Linked DNA regions of Caenorhabditis elegans. The gene in region 2 interacts genetically with the main gene of each other region. Each region holds a gene or a part of one and is shown on either strand. Other genes may lie near its edges.

Evidence for each region. Genes that interact genetically often act in the same process or in processes that back each other up.
Region 1: of lin-45 (region 2) and nhr-80, changing one enhances a phenotype caused by changing the other (phenotypic enhancement), as found in Caenorhabditis elegans (one large-scale study listed by BioGRID).

Annotation. Positions count from the first base shown.
Region 1 is NC_003281.10:9,974-20,433, reverse strand, and holds nhr-80 (Nuclear hormone receptor family member nhr-80), read left to right. Parts: upstream 1-5,680; coding exon 5,681-5,912; intron 5,913-6,350; coding exon 6,351-6,622; intron 6,623-6,751; coding exon 6,752-6,970; intron 6,971-7,042; coding exon 7,043-7,469; intron 7,470-7,806; coding exon 7,807-7,958; intron 7,959-8,032; coding exon 8,033-8,245; 3' UTR 8,246-8,303; downstream 8,304-10,460. Other genes in the region: H10E21.4 (EF-hand domain-containing protein), read left to right, coding at 871-931, 990-1,085, 1,535-1,724, 2,301-2,523, 2,873-3,013; H10E21.1 (Transposase), read right to left, coding at 3,155-3,286, 3,496-3,636, 3,810-3,913, 4,183-4,393, 4,571-4,618; npr-30 (G-protein coupled receptors family 1 profile domain-containing protein), read right to left, coding at 8,553-8,732, 9,333-9,637, 9,793-9,918, 9,967-10,069, 10,362-10,460. UniProt on the Caenorhabditis elegans protein: Transcription factor. Binds to regulatory elements and regulates transcription of target genes, including acyltransferase dgat-2.
Region 2 is NC_003282.8:6,743,596-6,754,055, forward strand, and holds the start of lin-45 (Raf homolog serine/threonine-protein kinase), read right to left. Parts: upstream 4,830-10,460; coding exon 4,758-4,829; intron 4,220-4,757; exon of another isoform or gene 4,126-4,219; coding exon of another isoform or gene 4,105-4,125; intron 3,864-4,104; coding exon 3,693-3,863; intron 3,531-3,692; coding exon 3,348-3,530; intron 3,297-3,347; coding exon 3,174-3,296; intron 3,122-3,173; coding exon 2,861-3,121; intron 2,502-2,860; coding exon 2,202-2,501; intron 2,152-2,201; coding exon 2,028-2,151; intron 1,855-2,027; coding exon 1,640-1,854; intron 1,595-1,639; coding exon 1,472-1,594; intron 1,255-1,471; coding exon 996-1,254; intron 950-995; coding exon 853-949; intron 804-852; coding exon 392-803; intron 1-391. UniProt on the Caenorhabditis elegans protein: Protein kinase that participates in the induction of vulva and has roles in fertility and viability. Acts downstream of the Ras protein let-60. Required for progression of developing oocytes through the pachytene stage.

The sequences.
Region 1 (10,460 bases), on a different chromosome or scaffold from region 2:
ATTTTGTCCAATAAGTTGGCGGAGCTCAATTTCACAATTTGTTTGAGTTTTCTGAAATAGTGGTCAATAAGTAGGCGGAGCGTATATTCAAAGATTTCAATAACATTTTTTAGAGTTTTCCAAATAGTGGGTTATTTTAAGAATTTTTAAAAGTTTTTCATAAATTTTGTCCAATAAGTGGGCGGAGCTTACTATCACAAATTTTTAAATTTTTTTCAATTTTTTCAAATTCGTAAAAAAAATTTTGATCAATAAGTGGGCGGAGTCTATTTGTAGAATTTCCTGTTTTTTTTAAAGTTTTCCTAAAACTGTGCTCATGGGGGCGGAGCTTAATTTAAAACTTCGGAAAATTTTTAATTTTAAGAAAATGATCATTTTAAGAAAACTTTATAAATTTACTTTTGAAAAATAATACTATTAAAAAAAGTTGTCCATTAAGTGGGCGGAGTTTATCTTTTAGAATTTTTCTATTTTTGAAATTTTTTTGCAAGCTGAAAAGAAAAGAAAAGTTTTGAGCTATTTCTTCAGTTTTTTTCAGAATTTTTTCTCCAAAAGTATATCCAAGACAAGCACACCTTCCTCTCAATTATCTCCCCTCAAAGATTCCCCCATTCTCTTTTTTTTTTTCGTTCAGCTGCGTTGCGTAATCTTGATTGCGTATATATTTACAAGCGGGTGGGGGATGGTTCTGTCGCGTAACGAAGCGGCTTCTGCCAAACCCGTTTCGCCTGCCTGGGTCTCTACAGTACCCCAGTACTGTCTGTGAAAAAACTTTCGGTTTTGTCTAGTTCATTGCCAGAAGCTGAGAGATATCTTTCATTTTTGCTGTGTGAAAATTTTCGCGCGGCGCTGTGAAATTTTCGACTAAAAATGATTAGGCAATCGGTTTTTTTGCTTGCGGCTATTGGGGCTACCGTTTTTGCACAGAATGGTAAGTTTTTAGAATTTTTTTTCGAAATTATGTTTTTATGCCTAAAACGTTTTTTCAGACTCATTCGACCTTGTGGATGCGAACAATGATGGAAAGCTGTCCGAGAAGGAACTAATCACTTTTATGAGGAAGCGAGGAAGGCCTGATGGGCAAGGTAGGGGGAACTTTGCAAGATTTTTGAAAATGTTCAACTGCCAAAATGTAGTGCTAGAATTTTACTACAAGTTGTTAGTTGGAAATTTTTTTGTAACTCTGTTAGAGTTATACAGCTTTAAAGACTGACTGGCTAGAGTGTCTTGTTTGACCGGAGTGAGCTAGCGCCTGTAACTCTTCAATGAGCAAATTTATCAAAAACTTGCCAAGTAACAAAATGTGCCAAATTTAATCTTCTACAACTTTGTACTTGAACACTTTTTGATAGAACACCTAGTTCTTCAGATACCCCTGATTTTTGATCCCACACTCATTCGTGACTAGGTGAAATTAGTCATACTACAGTTACACAAACCGAACAATAGATACAGCTACAGCTATTAAACACAGAGGGGTTCTACTCAAAACTAGATTCCCGATCACCTTGAGATGAGCATGACTAACTTGCAGAATACTTCCAACGCTTCGATTTGGACCGTAACGGGCACTTGGATATTTCTGAGTTTGTGCCATTGGTCTATGAGATGAGCCGGCGGCCAGTTGACATGGATTATGAGTTCTTCAAAAAAATGGACTTGAATGATGATGGAATTGTGGATAAGGCTGAGGTGGAGAAGATCAGAAAGGATAATAATGATAGGTAAGAGTTTCGGAGATGATACTACTAAAAAATCATTTTTATAGCTCTTTTCCTCGCAGAGATAGAACGGTTTAAAGTTTGCATGCCAAGAGAGTGTGGGGTAGGGGGAGGGTGCGAGACGCGCGCGCTGTCTTGCACTCTCCCCTTCTCCCACACTCTCTGCATGTATAAACTTCAGACCTTGATATCTCAGCTGGGAAAAGAGCTATCCAAATAATTTTAACTAACAAAATGTAGAGCTAAAAATTCTCTACAATCTGTTAGTTGACAAAGTCTTGAATACTTTACTAGTTTTCAAGATATTGCAATTTTTACCTTCTATAGTGTTGTGCCCTAACAATTATTGGCATTTATGTCATTTATTAGTAAGGATAATAGAGAACCTAGGATAGGCATTGAAACTAGAGTGCCTCTCATTTACAACATAATTTACAACCTACACAGGGAGAGGGAGGGAAGACCAACAGAGCAAGAGGGAAGAATGTGAACCTTAATAGACCGCCAAACAGGCCGCATAAATCAAATTATAGATAACACATCTTATGTGCATAGGACCACACAACATATAGTTTTCAGAATTATCGACGGAATCCTCTCAATCGCCGACACTAACAGAGATGGTCAGCTCACTTATGCCGAGTTCAAAAACCACCTGAGCAGCGGAGCCAAGAGCCTGAGCCCAGCCGAGGAGCAAAGAAACCAGGCTCTCCAGCTCCTCAGCTTTATTGACGCCAACGGTGATAACAAGTTGGACCAGTTGGAGCTTTACACTTTCTCACAGAAAACTTCCACTAATAAGGTGAGTTTATGGTATTTTTAAAATGTTGTGTGAAGTGGAAAATGTAGAGCTGGAAATTTGCTATACTTTGTTAGTTGAAAACTTTTTGTTAGCTCCATTCTCAGCAGAGTTATTCGCTTTTAAAGTTGGAGATGTGAAAGAGTGTGGGGAAGGGGGAGACACAGACAGCGCGCGCGTCCCGCACCCTCCCCCCTCCACACTATTTCATCGCGCAAACTTTAAAGCGTTGTATCTCGGCGGTGGGGAAAGATACCGAAAAGTTTTCAACTAACAAAATATAGTAAATTTTACGCTCTACAATTTCTTTTCTTGTAATTTTTTTCTAGTCATCACAGTTACCAAGTTACAGGTCACCAAATCCGATGTCCAGCAAATTTTCGCAATGCTCGACAAGAACCAGGACGGTTATTTGACCGAAAACGAGTTGCTCCAACTTGCACAGCAATTTTCAACAATCGGAAATGTCAGATCAACAATTCCAAAGGTTTAGATAAAGAATGAAAAACGATAATATTTCTTTAATTACCGTGAAAAATCTCATTTTTTTTGTGTATATTTGATTGAATTTGAATAAATAAATAGATTTTATTTTTATATATAAAAACGCTAGTTCTCTTAAAAAATCAATAAATCATCGATTTCTCATCATTTTAAGGTAAGAAATGTACAGTAACCGTGCTATGAAAGGCCAGGAGAATGCGAAAAAGAAAAATTGAAAATTCCGGAAAAAGCGGCAAATCGACTGAGTCCACGTGGTTCGGCGCTGAAAAATCGATAATTTGAAAAAAAACTGTTTTGAGAATTTTTTTTTGATAAGTGTATAGTAAAATTTGAAAAAAAAAACTACAATTAATTTAAAAAATTCGCTAATTAAAAAAAAACCGAAAAAAAACCAAAAATCGATAATTTACTGAGCCTAAAATTATTTATCGATTTTTGGAAAATCGATAAATTAAAAAAATCAATACATACCTTAGAAACCCGATTCAACAGATGCATGATAACCTTTAATTGTAGTGCATTGGTAGTTTCGACGCTATTCAGCTGCCTTGAAATTTCCATAAGTTGCTCATTGAGCTGCATTAAAAGTGGGTAGTGAGCCATTTCTTGGAACTGAAAATTTGAAATTTTTGGGTAAAAATTGGCTGAAAATCGGATAAAATTGATTGGAAATTTTTTTTGAAAAAAAAATTTCAAAATTTTTTTTTGAATTCAAATTTACAGAAATATTTCAAAAACCTGTTTTACATAAAAATGTGTTTATAACTTAAAAAATTCGAATTTACCGCCAAATTGAGTACTTTCCAGTCACTGCTGTGGTCACTTCCACTGTTGCTCCGTCGCCCCTTTGATGGCCCCGTAATTCTCCGGTTTTTGATTTCATCGGGTTCTAAATAAAATAATTGAGTTGTGCTTAAAATTGGCTTTCAGAGAAATATACATTTTTTGAGGTTTCGCAAGAGAAAATGAAAAAAAAAGGAAAAAAACTTTTTTTTAAAAGAATTTTTTTTTCAAATTTATTTTTTTGTAGTTGAAAAATTTGTGGAATTAAGAAAAAATTATACTTTTCTAAAAGCTCTCAAACAGCCTAATTAAAAAAAATTTTAAATTTATCCTCAAAACTTGATTTTTCAAACAAAAAATCAGGAAAAAACCCACGAAGCTTTTCCAAACTCGAGTGCTCGCTGCTCGACTCGCGGCTATAGTACTGAGCCATCCGTTCCTGATTCGACAAAAGTTTCGAGACACTTTTCTTACTCCTCCGCATTTTGGTTACAGTACCCAGATGAGATTTTAAGGAATCACACAATTTTGAGAGCTCCTCGCCACTTGACACCGCGTCCTCGTAGTCGGACTCTACTGGAATTTCCTGCAAGGTTTATGAAGTTAGTTTTTGTTTTCTGAGATTGGGAGTGAAGTTTTTAAATTTTTCGTGAAATTTTGAGTCTGGAAGTGTATTATGGCAAATTTCAAAATTTCGGAAAGTAATAAAAAGTCAAAAAAAAGTTCAAAAAAAAATTTTTTCCAAAATTTTTTTGTAACTCACAGTAATATGATCAGGAATTGGCAAATCTGTTGAAGTAGACGGAATCATGAATCTGAAACTGTTGGAAAAAAATATGAAAAACTCTCCGAAAATGGGCAAAAGTGATAAGGTGGCGGAAAAATGATAAACGACACGGATGTGCATAGAGAATTACAGGAAAAAGTGTTGAAATGGCAAGAAAAAAGGTGAAAATGTGAAATTTTTGAGTTTCGGCGTGAAAATTTTAGTTTTAGCATAAAAATTTCAATTTCAGCGTAAAATTTTGAGTCCTACAACAACAAAAAATCAATTAAAAAAATTCAAATTTTTAGCAAAAAAATCAAAAGTTTCAACCACTCCATTCTTTATAGAATGATCACATGTAGAAACGTGTAGCCTTATCAATGTATCACTAGTCTTATCAATTGTCTGCGTCTCTACGTCTCTCAGTTTCCAGTGCTCTCTGGTCATGTTTAATGCCTCAAATTGATACAGCCAATGATACACCATAGTGGTAGCTGGGAAGTTGTACTGTTTTTGTTAAAAGTTGTTTATTGTTTACTGGAGATTTTCTGAAACTATGATTTTCAAACAGAAAATTAAATTCTCAACATTAAAGTATTTGAAATTTCTTCAATAGCTCTACTCTCCGCGGAGTTACACCCCTTCAAAGTTTGAGAGGCGAGAGAGCATGGCGGAGGGAGAGACGCAGGCGGCGAGCGCGTCTCGCACCCTCCACCCACACCACACTCTCTCGCCTCGCAAACTTTAAAGAGGTGTAACTCTGCTATAAATAAAGATATAGAAAAACTGTAAAATACAACATATTGAAAATTTTATGTTCTATGTTCTACAGTTTGGCGGGAAATTCAAATTTTGCCGGAAAAAACACTTTCCATTTTTTAGGTACACAGAACACAACATAAATACCTTATCAAGTTACCTCTCCATTCAAAGAAAAAATGAGAGAGAAGCAAAAAAAAGTATCTACACGGAGGCGCAGAGAAATCAGAGAAAATCGTTATCAGCTCCACTACTCTGTTGCGCGGCATCATATCAACAATCACACCACTTTTTTCCCTCTTTTTTGGTGAACTTTTATAAAAATTGACTTTTTATTGATTTGTATACATGACGGCGGAAGGTAGGTATTTGGAAATTAGAAAAAAAACTGTAAAATCAAAATTCCGATTTCCAGCTTCTTCCAGCTCCACGCGATGTCTAATTTGTTCAGCACAAGCCACTGGATTTCACTTTGAAGCTCAGTCCTGCTCAGCTTGTGCTGCATTTTTCCGGCGGACCGTTGCACTGACAAAAAGTTTCAAGTGCATCACAGGAAGGGATGACTGCAATGTTCATTATAGTAAGTTGCTAGTGTTGTAGATCTCAAAATTCTACGCATTTTTGCATTTTAAAATTTTCTGATAGCTCTCCTCCTCGCCGAGATATTCCTCTTTGAAGTTTGCTAGGCGAGAGAGTGTGGGGCGGGAGGAGGGTGCGAGACGCGCGCGCTGCCGGCGTCTCCCCCTCCACCACACTCTCTCGTTGTCTAAACTTTGAGACGGCGTAACTCAGCGGAGAGTAAGGATATCAAGAAAAATTTTTATGCGGAAATGTGTAGAATTTGATTTTCTATCGATTTATGTTAAAGTTAAAATGGTTTTTAGTCCATTTTTTTGTGAGGCATAACTCCACATGGAGTAGGCATATAAAAAAGTTGTAAACCAACAAAATGTGTGAAATTTAAAGTTCTATAAGTTTTCATTGCCATTTTTTGCATAAACCTAAAATTTCATTCCAGGTATGCACCAAATCTGCAGAAGCTGCCGTCACAAAAAGTGCCTGAGCAATGGGATGAAGCCCGGTGGAGTTCAACCCAAAAAGCCAAACATTGAAACCGGAAGAGCATTTTTCACAAAATCAGGGCTCAAGAGAAATAAGAAATTCGCGAATGTGTCCCCGCAGACGGCTGACGAGCAGAAGCTCGTGGTGGAGGGGGTTAAGGTTCCTAAAATTGAGGTTCAGGAGCCAAATAGCTTGGAGGACTTGGAACAGGATAATGAATTTGTGATAGTAAGATTTACAGAAAATTTGTTTAAAAAATTTAGAAAAAAATTGAAATTGCCAAAATTAAAATTTTTGAAAATTGAACATTAAAAAAATTTAGTTTTTCAAAATTTAACATTCCTCAATTTTTTCCAGAAAACCCCTACACCTCGGAAAATCTCATCGTCCACCTCCTTCAGCGCCTCAACAACTACAAACTACAGTACTCCCGGACCATCTCCGATGGCTCCCTGCTCAGCGGGCCCGGATGTGCTCACCCTGTTCATACGGGAAGAGATGAAGCTCGGTGAGAGAAGGAGGCTATTGTTCAGTGAACGAGCAGTAGGGACTCTATTGGGACAGAATAAGCATTGTGTGAGTTTTCTAATAAAAAAAAATTTTGGAGCACAATTTTTTTTTGAAAAATCACCAAATAAAAAATTTTAGCCCTACAAAAAAGAGGACATAAAACCCCTGGTATTCCACGACTTTCGTCTAACCATAAAAACACACATAATGCTAGTCTACGAGTGGCTCCAAACCTGGCCCGAGCTCCAGGAGCTCGACGACTTCGACCGAATGTCACTGCTCCGGAAAGCTGTATTAATACATTTCCTACTTGATCCATCCTTCTTATCATATCAAATCGGTGAACCTGATAAGCTGATAATGCAGAACGGGGGCTTCATATCAACAGCGGACCATCATGGAGTTGGCTGGGAGGATGAGACGGATATCAGTGGGGAGAATAAGAGAAAGTACTATGTTCCAATTATGAAACAAATCACCGACGAGATCATGCCTGCGATGGAAGCTATGAAGATCACTTTTGAGGAATTTGTGGCGCTGAAGGCGCTGGCGTGCTTTCAAGGGGGTGAGATTTGTTCGAAAACATTAAAATATTGTAGAGCCAGAAGTTCTAAACATTTCATCAGTTGGAAACTTTTTGATAGCTCCACTCCCTGCAAAGTTACAATACTTCAAAGATGCGGCGGCTAGAGAGTGTGAGGTGTGGGGAGGGTGCGCGACGCGCGCGCGCAATCTGCGTCTCCCCCTCCCCCACACTCTTTCGCCGCCGTAACTTTGCAAGGGCATACTAAGCGGAGAAAAGAGCTATCAAAAAAATTCAAAAAGCAAAAGTGTTTAGAATTTGATTTTCTATATGACGCTTGTGTTATTGAAAATCTTTGCAAAACTCTAAAAAATTCCAGGTTTCGAAAACGTGTCAGAGGCGAAACGTCACCTAATCACCCAACAAGTTAACAGGATAATGACGTCACTACACACCCATTATCTTGAAAATTCCGAAGAAAAAATCGCGGAGAGGTTTGGAACCATTGTGCTCATGCTGAGCAATATATTTGTGAGTTTTTTTGAAATTTTTATTTTCAAAATTTTACCAAAACCCAAATCACCTCGAAAATCGAATTTTTCCAGACTGCCGGCAATGATTTTGTGCAAAATCACAGAGAAATCGATATTTTCCACATTTGGGATCTGGACAAGCTGGTGCTCCAGCTGCTCAACCTCGACAAAATTATGGAGACAGAAGCCAGGGAGACTGCCGAGAAACGGGCGATGCGGAATGGGATTAATGTTGTTAATAATAATAATGATGTGCTTTTGGGTCAGGCAAAGCTTGAAAAATGAGAATAAATGAATTTTTGGGCTTTTTAAAATTTTAGAATTTTATAACTTTTTGAAAAAAAATTTTTTTTTCGTTTTTTTTTTTTCAAATTTCAAAAAATTATAACTTTAGTCATTTTTAAGATTTTTTGCTCATTTTTTGCAAAAATGTGCGAAAAAATTATATCTACAGCATACCCATCAATTTTCCCCCTGGGACCCAAAAAAATTGAAAAATGTTGGGAAAAAAAGTTTAAAAAATTAATAATTTATTACAACTCAAACTCGTTTTCTGTTTTAGTACAATTTCCATGCATTAATATTTTCAAAGTTACAAGTAAATTTGCGGAGCCGCCGGCTCCGTCTCCTCGTCCTCCACCACACTTTCCACGTGGATTTCGGTAGGCACTACACTGCCGGAGGAGCTCCACCGCGGCCTGATTAGTGTTGGAGCAAGAGTATTGTCGTCGCGGAGCCAAGTTTGCACAAACCCGAGCTGTGCAGTTATCATCTGGAAATAAGATTTTAGTGGGCGTAGCTAAATTTGAAATTTTTATTTGTAAAAAAAAATTATTTTCAGAAATTGTAAATTTATTTTATAAACATATCACAAAATTTTCAATTTAAAAAATCTATAAAATAGGGTCTACAAACTTCCAGTCGAAAAAATTTTTTTTTTTAAATTTGCTCAAAAATCCCAAAAATGTTTAAAGTGGGCGGAGCCTAATTTAAGGGATTTGAATAAAAAATCAAAGCTCAGTTTTCACATACTACAGGCTCAGGTAGCAAGGTCTGAAAAAAAAATTTATTTTCAGAAAAAATTCGATGAAAAATTCCAAAAAAAGTCAAAAAGTGGGCCTAACTTGCGATTTGTAATTAATCTAAAAATGGATTTTTTTCCAAAATTCAAAATTAGTTAGTTAGAGAATAGTTTTCAGAATATTTTTCAGAAAAAAACTTTGAGGCTGAAATTTTTTTTAAAGTGGGTAGAGCCTAAAAACTTTCAATTTACCGAAAAAATAATAATTTTTTTTATTAAAAATCAAAAATTTTTGTGCTCTTAACTACTTAAACATTCAATTTTTAAAATTTTATGTTTCCAATCACCAACCTGATAAGCCCCCGCTCTTATAGTCATCAGCTTCTTCCTCTGGCTCGTCATAATAGTCGAGTGGGCGTTGCGGATTCCCTTATTGATAAAAGTTAGGATAATCGGATAGGCGGCACACGAGATGTACGGTAGCAGGTGAGCCATTTGAGATATGATCACCATCCAATTATTCGACGGGGGAAATGTGAAGAAAAGCCAGAAAAGAGCCCAGTAGGGGGTCCAACAGGCCATATAGACCACCACGAAAGCGTTTACGGTATGGCGGATTTTTAGTATTGATTGGTGATTAAATCGTGTAGAATTACCTAAAAATTGTGAGAAAATATCAATAAAATTGCAAAAAAATCGATTGAAAAAATTTATTAATTTTTTTGAAATTTTTTTTCAAAATTTTTTTTCAACATAAATAATAAAAATTTCACCCAAATTTCTATTCTAAAAAAACAGAAAAAAAACTCACTACTAGTAGTTTTAATAGACGAATATCTCCTCTTCAAGATCATGGGGACCCTCAAATAAAAGTACATGTAGGCAGCGCTAGTGAATCCGTAGCCAAACACAAACGCTAAGATATTGAACACCATTGCTGAAAAAAAAAATTAAAAATTGCCAAAACTTAGTGAAACTTTGTTACCATATGGATGAGGAGGGTGGAAAATGCACATGGTGACTGCAGTGAGCTCTCCGTGTCGTGGAATTTCGTAAGTTCGAGTTTCCGCAAAAATTAGTACGGATATCTGAATAGAAAATTGAATTCTGATCATTTTTGTAGTTGGAAGTTTCTTTGTAGCTCCACTCCCCGCGGAGTTATGCCCATTCAAAGTTTTACCAGCGAGAGAGCGTGGGGTAGGGGGAGACGCAGAGCGCACTGCGTCTCCCCGCCGCCACACTCTCTAGCCGCTAAACCTTCAAAGCGGGATATCTCTGCGGGGAGTGAAGCTATCAAAGTTTTGAAAAATAAGAAAATGAGTAGAACTTCAAGCTCTACAATTTTTGAGTATCAAAAGAAAAATCAGAAAAAAATCTCACCGTCAAAACTCCGACTGCAATCAACGCCATAACAGAGTACAGCTGAAATACAATATTCCATATGCTCCGCCTCTTTTTGGAGCATTTGTGTGACGTCAT
Region 2 (10,460 bases):
AAGCATGTTTTTATCCATTTTTCGACAGCGTCAAAGAGTGAAAAATCAAAGGAAGCCACCATATTTAGACAAAACTGCCAATTTTAAATGTGAAAAAAAAGAGCGAAAATGTGTGAAGTACTGGAAGAAAATAAATTCCGAATTGTCCTCGCGGTGTACACGGGGAGAACGCCCAGCTCGTAAATTTACACAACTTTTGAAGAGACATAGTCATATGAAAACGTATGGTCTCGCCGCATGGCGGCTTACTGTAGTTTTTCGCTCGTCGACGCTGTCGAAACATGTACAAAGTACAAAAAATCGATTTTTTAAAAGTTTTTTGACACTCATGAATAACCCCATAATAAATCATAGTTCTACCAAATTTCTAAAGTCGGTATTTCCCACTCACCTCTCCAAATACTGGCCGCTCATTTCTATCGAACATAATGCAATTGTCATATAATTTGAGCATGCTCTTCGGCGTATCATGTCGAATTTTCGATCTATCCGGCCTCAAATACCCTCTTCCAACCATAAACAATATCTGATCTCGATTATTAATGTTGGAGTATGGTAGATGCGAAGATAGAATTTCGTACATGCATATTCCAAAAGAATACACATCAGACTGTGGGGTATATGGATTATCATCTTGCATTCTGATGACTTCAGGTGCCATCCAGAGAATACTTCCTGTTGGTTGTTGTTGCTGTTGACCTCCGTTCACTGTCCATTTCGTTTTGACAGTTGCCAAGCCGAAATCTCCAATTTTTACCGTTGACATGTCATCCATAAGGAATATATTGTTCGTTTTCAAGTCACTGAAATGTTTTAAACATTTAAACATAAATTATAGATATGGTCAGTTACCGATGAATAATATTTTTTGAATGTAAATAATTCATTCCAAGAGACACTTGCTTCAGTATATCAATGATAGCACCCATTTCAAATTCGACGCGTGGCTCTGAAAATTATTAAATTATAAGAATTAAAATCTCAGTTCAGATCACCTTGAACATGAATATGTCTATACAAACTCGATCCTTCACACCATTGAGTAATAATTGCAATTTCTGGTTCTCGAACCCATCCCATAAACAGCAAAACATTCAAATGACGTGTTTTCTTTAAAACTGCAACTTCATTTTTAAAGGCTGCCATTTGAGAAGGCGTCGGATCAACAACATTCAGCTTTTTTATAGCAACAGTTCCGAAGAATTCTCCACGATAGACGGTACCGAAGGATCCCGAACCAACTTTGTATTGAATCTAAAAGAATGCTTGTTTTAATAGTTTTGACAGAAGTTTTGAGCGTTTTTTTATTGCTTCAACTGTAAAAAAAAAAGCTATTTTCAGATAAATAAAATGTTTTTTTTCTATATTCGATCACTGAATTTAAATGAAAAAAATTAGGATAACATGCTCCTTTTGTAGAACTGCCGGTTTGCAAAAGCCGTGCACCCTTGCTGATGTAGAATAAACTTACAATAAATTCATTCGGCAATATTTCCCAATCCTCATGATGTGGTTTCTGTGGCGGCCTGGGTCGTTGTGCATCAAGTCGTTCGCCTGGCGATCGACTACGATTTCGGAAGAAACCAGGTGAAATCTAAACATTTTTAATTGAAGAAAAATAGATTTTTTTGAATTCTACCTTCTGAGGAGGTGCTGATTGTGGTGGTGTTAATGGGAGAGTATGCAAATGAGCGGCTACTAATGATGACGTCGTTGATCCTGATACATTCGGGGATTGTCCAAGAGTAGGTTGTCCGATTAAGCCACCTGGAGGTGATGAACATGTAGATGAAGGAGAATTCGAGCCAAGAGGAGTACAGTCAACAAGTGGGTGAAGACGATTCATTCGAGCTCCTGAATAATTGAGAATAAGTGAAATTAAAATAATTAGAGTCGTTTGGGAAATTCTTGAAGGTGGAATAGAGTAAAAATTGTTTTTATAACTTTAGAAAAACGTCTTAAATTTGGAATTTTGTTTTTCTTCCCTGACCTTTTGACGAATCGTTATGTTTTCTGTTTTCGATTACCTGACAAAATATGTCCACTCTGGAAATGAGGTCGATGACGTGCTTGTGTTGAAAGTAACGATCCAGTTTTATCTCGTGATTCTTCTTCTAATCGCTGAGCTTCCAATGCATCAAGAATTCTTTGCTGAAAATAATACATTTTAGACTTTTTCTTTTAAAATTGGTGACTATTACATTATGTTGAACTGTTGCCTCATCATTAATCGCATTGATATTCGGAGCAGAAGAGCTCCGATCCCGTGGATAAGGTCCGGATGGAGATAATTGAGATGTTTCATTCTGTGGAGAAACAGCCATTGGATGTCTTTTGACACCACCCGTTCGTTTAATACTCGTCAAATCTGGATGAGAACTGTCTGGTGTGGCAGCTGGACTTTGTCCACTCGTTGGAGCTAGATTAGCAAGAACTATTTCGGCAACTGATCTATCTGGGCCTTCGACTTGTGATGCGATCCCAAAGAGTTCTTTCACTAGCTGAAAATTAAATGTTTTAGATAAGAATTGTTTCTGAAGCAGAGGTGAGCAATTACGCCATGTTGTTCCAACATTTTTCATTAAAAATCAGTGTAAAAAATATATAGAACCACCTTAATTATCTAATGATAACTTTTAATTATGTTTAAACATCTATGAAAATGCACAAAAATGACCTAGAAGTTGCGAATTGCCTATGGCAAATGGCCATTATTGTGCATTTTCACAGATCTTTAAACATAATTAAAAGTTGTCATTAGATAAATAATGTGGTTTTCTATATTTCGACGTTAATGACAAATGTTGGGACAACATTGGTAATTTTGTAATATTGCCGCCCGCCTTTGTTCTGAACGCACATCTTCATTTTTCGGTACAGATTGTAACAAATCGCAATAAAGTGGTGCAAACGATGAGCATCTTTGATGAAATTTGAATTGACAAAATTCACATCGAAATCCCATCATCCAGATAGGATTATTGCATACATCACATGATTTCGGTGGAATAAACGTTCTTCGAACAATTGCATGTTTAATCGATGAGACTGTATTCAGATATTCTGAATGAACCCATAATTCATTTCCAGGCAGTCGGGATGCGATCTCTTCCATTGTCAGCTGAAAATATTCAAAAATAAGAATTATGCTGTTAGATTCCAGTAAATCACACCGATAATTCAATAGATTCTTGTTTTGGGTCAGATGACGCGTTCACGTGACATAATTGAGGTGTGATATTCCGTTTTTTGAGCAATTTCGAAATGGCATCCCGCGCGGTTTCACCGGGACGAACCTGAACAAAATGTGCTTATTTTCTTCGTTTCACAGTGAATTTTTTGCTTACTTCAACCCTAGAATGTTGATCAAATGGCAAATGAACCATAATCATTTTGTATTTGAATTTTGGCGGTTCCTTGTCACTTGTTCCTGCTCCTCCAGCGGAATGATGTCCAGATAACGAATGAAGACTATCACTGTGCTTTGGATAAAGAGGAGTTGAAGGACTTGCCATCGGCGAAGCTTGATCCTGAAAATAATTATGAGTTACATATAAATATTTAATTGATAATCTTTGGAATGAGAAGTGGACGCTTGATTCTGAATTGAATAGATTAACACGATTCCCCACAAGTAACATGTAATTAGTGTTAAAAAATTCAAGACAAAGGATTCGTTGCTAATTTTCTACCTTCCGATCAATAGATGAAGAAGCACATCTCGGCAGACTTATAAGCCGCGGAGATGGGCAATGTGGGCTCGTCGGGGTGGTCGACGCCGATGACTTTTTGAAATTAATCCGACTCATTCGGCGGCGTGTCGACGATGATGATGGCGTTTGAGATGATGTGACAGGTGACTTCTAAATTGCTGTTAGTGATTACATGTAATTAAAAAACAAAAGGACAATTTGGACGAGTAAAACATTAAACACGGACTTTTAAAGGACATTTGAGAAATCAGAACAAGCAATAAGTAAATTACTTTTCAGATGCTCTATTTTATTATTGTGAAGCACTTTTTAAAACAATCTGAACAAATAAATGTTTCCCTTTAGCATTTTTCACTTTCATTTTATTTGTGGAAAACGTTCGAAAACACACCGTTTCGCGAGAGCATTCCATGTGAAAATTGCAGTTAATTCCAAAATAAAATAAACCAGAAAATCAATATATTCGCAGATAGAAGGTCAACAAAAGAAAGAGAGCGGCGGTAAGGGGCGCAAAGATGATTTTTTTCTTTTCCGAGAAGAGTACACGGAGGGAGTTAGTCCGCGGGCCGAACACACTTTTCTCTTCCATTTTCGCGCAGAAGATTTTAACCCAGATTTTGCAGGGTTTATTAGAATTTTCAAATAATAAGGACAGCGTTGCGCTCGGTTATATGAATTTATGTAGATGGAGTGAAGCTTTAAATAAATCTATTATTAATGGAAATATGGAATACGTTTATTTTCATTAGTTGATAAATTAACTTTTCAAATCTACAGTAACTCGATAGCTGAAAAGAAAAGTTAAAACTTGTATTGAAAAAGATGTTACGAATGAAACGTGGGATTCCCATGTTCAAAAAAGGAATCACGAATGTTCAATTTGCTGGCCAATTAAACAATTGTGTTCGCAAAGTTTTAAATGCAATCGTGTATTTTCTCAATACAGAAGCCCCGCGGGTTGCTTCATAAAGTCATTTGATTATTCAAATATCACTATGATTTCACAGAGTGTACCCTATTGATTTAAATCAGTTTTCAACTTACTGGTGCCGATTTCCGACGATTCCAGCCTCCATGAAAGTGACAAACTGAATACAGTACAGCCATTGCAGACATTTTAAAATGTTATGTGATCAATTATGGAATATAATTATCTCCAGATAACTTTAGAAGAATTTCAGAAAGTAAAAATATATTGTTAACAGGGGCCCCTTTGGATCCAATGGTTCTCTTCACACACAAAAAAAGAGAGGCGGGGTTTGTTTTCGCCATCTATTTTTTCTCACTGGTTTCTGTGCTCTGATCGAGAGAGATAGAAAAAGAGAGCAAAGAAAAAGAAACGTGTAAATCGGGAGCGACACGTGCCACGAATAGGTTGACAATGTTTTCAGCGTTGGGTCTTAACACGAAACAGATGACCTTAGTTTGTGAAGAGAGCAGCAAGTTGATTTGAAGAAACAAGGTCATACGTGACAAAACACAAACTAGAAAAGAATATATTCGAAAAAAACCACTAATCAAATTATAAAAGAAGGAACTAGATGACATTTGGTTAATAAGCTACTTCTAGTTAGTACACCCCGAATTAGCTGTGAAAGTTGAAAAAACGGGAAAAGTTTATCTGAAACTGACAGACTAGACAAATGTCTGTGACATATTGCAACTAAGATTTTGCAGAATGTGGACATTTTTGAGAAAAAAGGGATTACATGACTCAACTGATTACCTTTACGTTATGGTAATTTTCAAATTTTCTGAAAAGTGAACTGATCTGTTAAGATTGGTCTTGCCACGAAAAAATAGTTCATTCTAGGATTTAGAAAAATTTGGTATCATTTGCTTCCTTGGAATCAACTTAACTTAAGTATTACTTATCAACTTATTATCTTAACATTTGTCAACTTTACCACTTTTAAACAGTTATTTTGAAACTAAATTTTCGAAAGTTGGAAAGCAGAATAAAAGCAGCTGGCATCACGGAGATTAAAACATATGTCTTAATGTGTTTTCTCGCGACGAGACCCATCTGAGTTGATACATGTTTTGAGGAATAAGCGTGAGTCTAAAAATCTATTTTGAAAAATCTATGAAAAAAATCCAAATTCTACGAATAAAAATCAATGGGATCGCGCATCAAATGTGTTTTGTTCGTTCCGCCTCTTCATTCCACTCTATTCTCATCTTTTTCCGCCAATTTCCACTTGAAAAGTGCGAACAATTCCTCAAAAAAGAAACAAAATACACTATATTCCACATCAAAGAGGTCATTTTTCTATCAAATATTTGTTTTGGTTTATCAAAAAGATTGAGGTTCTAAAGATTATTATTAAAAGTTTTAAATAAACAAACTACGAAAGCATTATTTTGATCTAATGTTGACTATACAAAACTTTTTCAAATTTCTTTGATCACTAGAATTTCAAAAAAAAACCTATTTCAGTATAATTGTAGTTCGCAAAATAACAATTATTTTCATTTTAATGTGAGATATCGTAGTTCTTAATATAGATTTTCAACAGAAATTCAGAAATTTGGCTTCATCGAAATTAACTTTGAATCGTACATTGGGACGTCCTGTCTTCAGAAATTTTCAGCCGACATGCTCAAACGAGCTCCAAAAAAGTTTAAAAGTATCTATTGCAAGGTTTTCGCCAGCTTTAGAAATTAACACCAAATCTACCTCTACAGTTAAAAGTTTAAGAGCATTGGACATTTCAAATTGAACGCTATTCAAAGATTATAATCAAAGATTATAATCGAAAAATCGATTTTTCGATTTTAAACTAGATCCCTTGAAACAGTGAAAAAATTTCTATGTTTAGTCGCTCAAAAACCTCTTCATACTCTGTGTGCTCGTTGTACTCAAAGTTTGTCTTTTTACTACATTTTGTATAGTTCGATTGCTTTTCCTTCCTCCTTTCCATCTTTCCCTTCTTGCTCTTTTGCTCCTTCTGGTCACCAAAAACATCATGATCATTGATTTTCTCAGCTTCTCTGAGTATCTTGAACTCTACTGATCTTAAATCAGTTCGGTGCAAAAGAAAACGAGAAAGAAATGAAGAAAAAGAAGAAGATATATGTGTATGTGATATATTTATTGTTTGAGTGATTTAGTGACAACAAGACTCGGCTGACTTTTGAACTAGTTTTTAGGGGGCTCTAGTTATAGATCAACTGTAGATAATACTAGAAGTGGGCGCATGATGCACACATCGCCAACAAAATCTGGTCAACAAATAAGTTTTGACATATTTTGTAAGTTTACGATTTGTCTGAAATTTTGTATGGGCTACTTACATATAGTGTGCAGTTAGTATATACAAGCCTACAAGTTTTAGCTAAGCTTCTTGGTACTTTGTTCTGAAAATATGTAACATTACTAATTTTTTTGCGATATTTTGGATTAGGCCTTTGAGTTTTGATGTTAAGTAATAACTAAATCAATTATGTTTTGTTCGTAGATGAGAAAAATTCATCACAACATTTCATCAAAATTGGACCACACACACAGAAATTTTATAGCAAATGAGAAACAGTGAAATTTACTAAAAAATATTAAATTTTTCCGATTATATTTTTTCGTTAAATATTTAACTAGACAGTGAATAAGTTCAATTAATTGCATAAAAAACAATTTAAATTTTTTTCAGATCAAACAACTAAGAAGCTATTAGCTGAAACTAGCTGAAACTTTTAGGATTGGATGTCCTAACTGCTATATAACTCACCTATACAAAATTTGAAAATAAACTTGAATTGACCATACATATACGTCTTATTTGCTGACCTAATCCAATTAATTGTAGAAAATTTAATTTTGATTTCTAAACTTTTACAGATCTAAAATTAAATTGACACCTGTTTTTTTTTCTTGCTATTTCAAAACATTTTTCAAGCTGACTACAGAAATCTATATGTTTATAGTTGAAGAACAGTTGTTCTAGATTCTAGAACCTCACTCATTCCAGGTCAATAACTCAAGAAAAGTCTTCATGTCCTTCCATCGTCAGGTGACCCAAGACACCCGAATTCATAAACTACGTCAAATGTGACCCATATTTCATCACTAAGTCATTGGAGAAGATCAGCAAAGAAAAGTGAAAAAACATTCGAGAAGGACCTAGAACACATGCACCTCTCATAAAAGACGGGTCGGCGACGAGTCACTTTGCTCGTTTTTATTCTATCTTTTCGTTTCAAGCAAAAAAGAATGAAAGTTAGTGTAATTTTTCTGGGATCTTTGTGTGTGTGTGAGCTAGATAAACATGCACATACGGGTCCTTGGAAACCCGTGAAAACAATTGGAAGACACTTGATGTGAGGGAATGAAAAATATGAAATTGATGACAGATGATGATTTGGACTTCGAAAAGTTCTAGTGATCCTACTGTAATTTTAGCAATATATATATAAAGGTGTAAGAGGCACACTTCCGGAAAATCTTGCGTCTATAAATTTGTGGCTTCGTTCAATCGAAACTGAGTTGTTCTAAAAATCTTTGATACTATTTCAGTTTGTAAATCAAAAAATTGAAAATGGAATATAACACTCCTAAAACCTAATTGTCTACAAGAAAACCATAACTCATCGTGTAGGCGACCTACGCCTACTTTACATTTGTTCATGTATTTACGGAAATGTAGGCATAGGTTGCCTTCGAAGTTACGCCTGCCGTGCGGCATGTAGATTAAATGAAAATTTGAAAACTTTAAACTTCAACTTATAAAAAATCTTGAAAGTTGCTTAAAAATCTGAACCAATACATTTTTGAAGCAAGATTTTATGTGACCTACAACAAACAAAAAATAAATTTTGAAGTTAGGTCAATCACGCAGATTAAAAATTAACAGCCTGAGTACCTACATGTGAGACTTATTTAACACCTGATGCCTATGTTACATATAAGTCCTCGCGGTAAACTAGGCTACCTTGTAGGAAGTCAGGTAGGTATTTTTGTATCTCCATCGATGACTTACCACTATCGAGATCTAACAGTTAAATTTATAATGTTAAACTCAACTAGAAAATCAACTAGAAATACGGTCTGGAAAAACCAAGAAAAAGTTGAGAAATTGACGCTTTTTCAAAGAAAAATGCATAGTTCCAAATCTTGAACGGTTCCTTTTTGATCATTTTTTCTTAATTTTGACTAAGACTACTATTAATAAATACTAATTTTTCAGAAAACATCAAATTGTATTAGAAAAAGAAAAGAAATGATTTCTGTTTCACCACTTTTGTAAAATCCTAGACAAGTTTGTAACATCTTTTATGAATTCATTGTAGTCTTACAACTCGTGATTATCTTTTTCCCATAAGAGTAAGATCAGTCATGTTTAATCTATCGAATCTCTGCACTTTCCCCCTAATAATTCCCATGAAAAGCCACAATCAAAAATCATTTTGCAAAGTTACAACTCGCGATGAATGAGAATTAAATTGGACACATGGGAAATGCAGAAAAAAAAGAAATGCAGAAATTTAACACAAAAGCATAAGTGAGCACTCTCCTGTTTTTCAACAAAACGGGCGCCACGTTACCAAGGCAACCAATGAGAGCTTCCGAAAATGGGGAAGAGAGTTGGAGAAAATGCTTGCATTTTTTGAAGGAAAAATAGTTTATGAAAAAGAAGAGAGAAGACAAAATGAAGGGAAATAAAATAGGGAAGAAGAAGAAGAAAATGAATGTGAATAAAGGATAAAATATATTTGGAAGAGAAGAAGATATTAACTTTTTTTTAGGGATTCTAATGAAAAACTGAAATGAGAGAAGATCGGGAAATAAATACATACTTGTTTGAATTCTAAAACTTTTCAAAACTGGCAAAAAGTTTCAAAATTGTAATTTCAAATTATTGCACATACAGGTTATGTCTATTAATTTAAAAATGAACGGTCTCAATAAGTTGGATGTTTTAAAAGCTTGCATTCATTTTGTCAAAGATGTCACATTGTTCTGGAGTTTCTGCACAAGAACAATTGTCCTGGAATTTCAGTCCTGGTGGATGCGAATTCCAGTTGAATTTTTGGCTTTTTGGCATTTTGCAACGAATTTTCAATTTTTAAAAATATTTCTAAACACACTTCTCATAGCTCAATATGCAATATGACCGACTATCATAATGAATAGAACACTCCAACACAGTTTTGGCAAATTACCAAATATTCAAAAACTTCGACTTTAAATAGAAATTTTGAGCATTAGCTCGAACCCCTAGAATGATTAAATACAAAAATTGAAACTGAAATAAATATAATAATAGAACAAACAATTTTTCAGTCGCCTTTCAAAATTATGATATGTCAAAGCTTAATTTTCACCACTTTTTGATTGTAATTAATTTTTTTTTGTAATTAAAATTTACTATATTGTTTGGATGAATATTTATTTTTATTTATTTTTGAAGCGAAAATTTCCACAAATGAAAAAGTCCAACTTTAAAAGCAAAAACTCAAAACTTTTGAAAGTTGTTATTTCGAAAAGTCTAAATAAAATGAAAAGTTGTGTTGAAGAATTAATTTTCAAAATCATGAGGATTTTCAGATTGGAAAAACACAAAAGCAACAAATCTTGGAACCAAAATCCAGATATCTGAATGTACTTTTGATATTTTAATTAGTTCAATTAGTTCAACTATAAGTACCAAATGAGTCATTGCTCTTGCAAAAAAAGAGAACAAAGCACTGCAGAATGAGCACCGGAAAATTTTCGCCGAGTGTGGTTGAAAACGAAGTAGGTGTAATAAT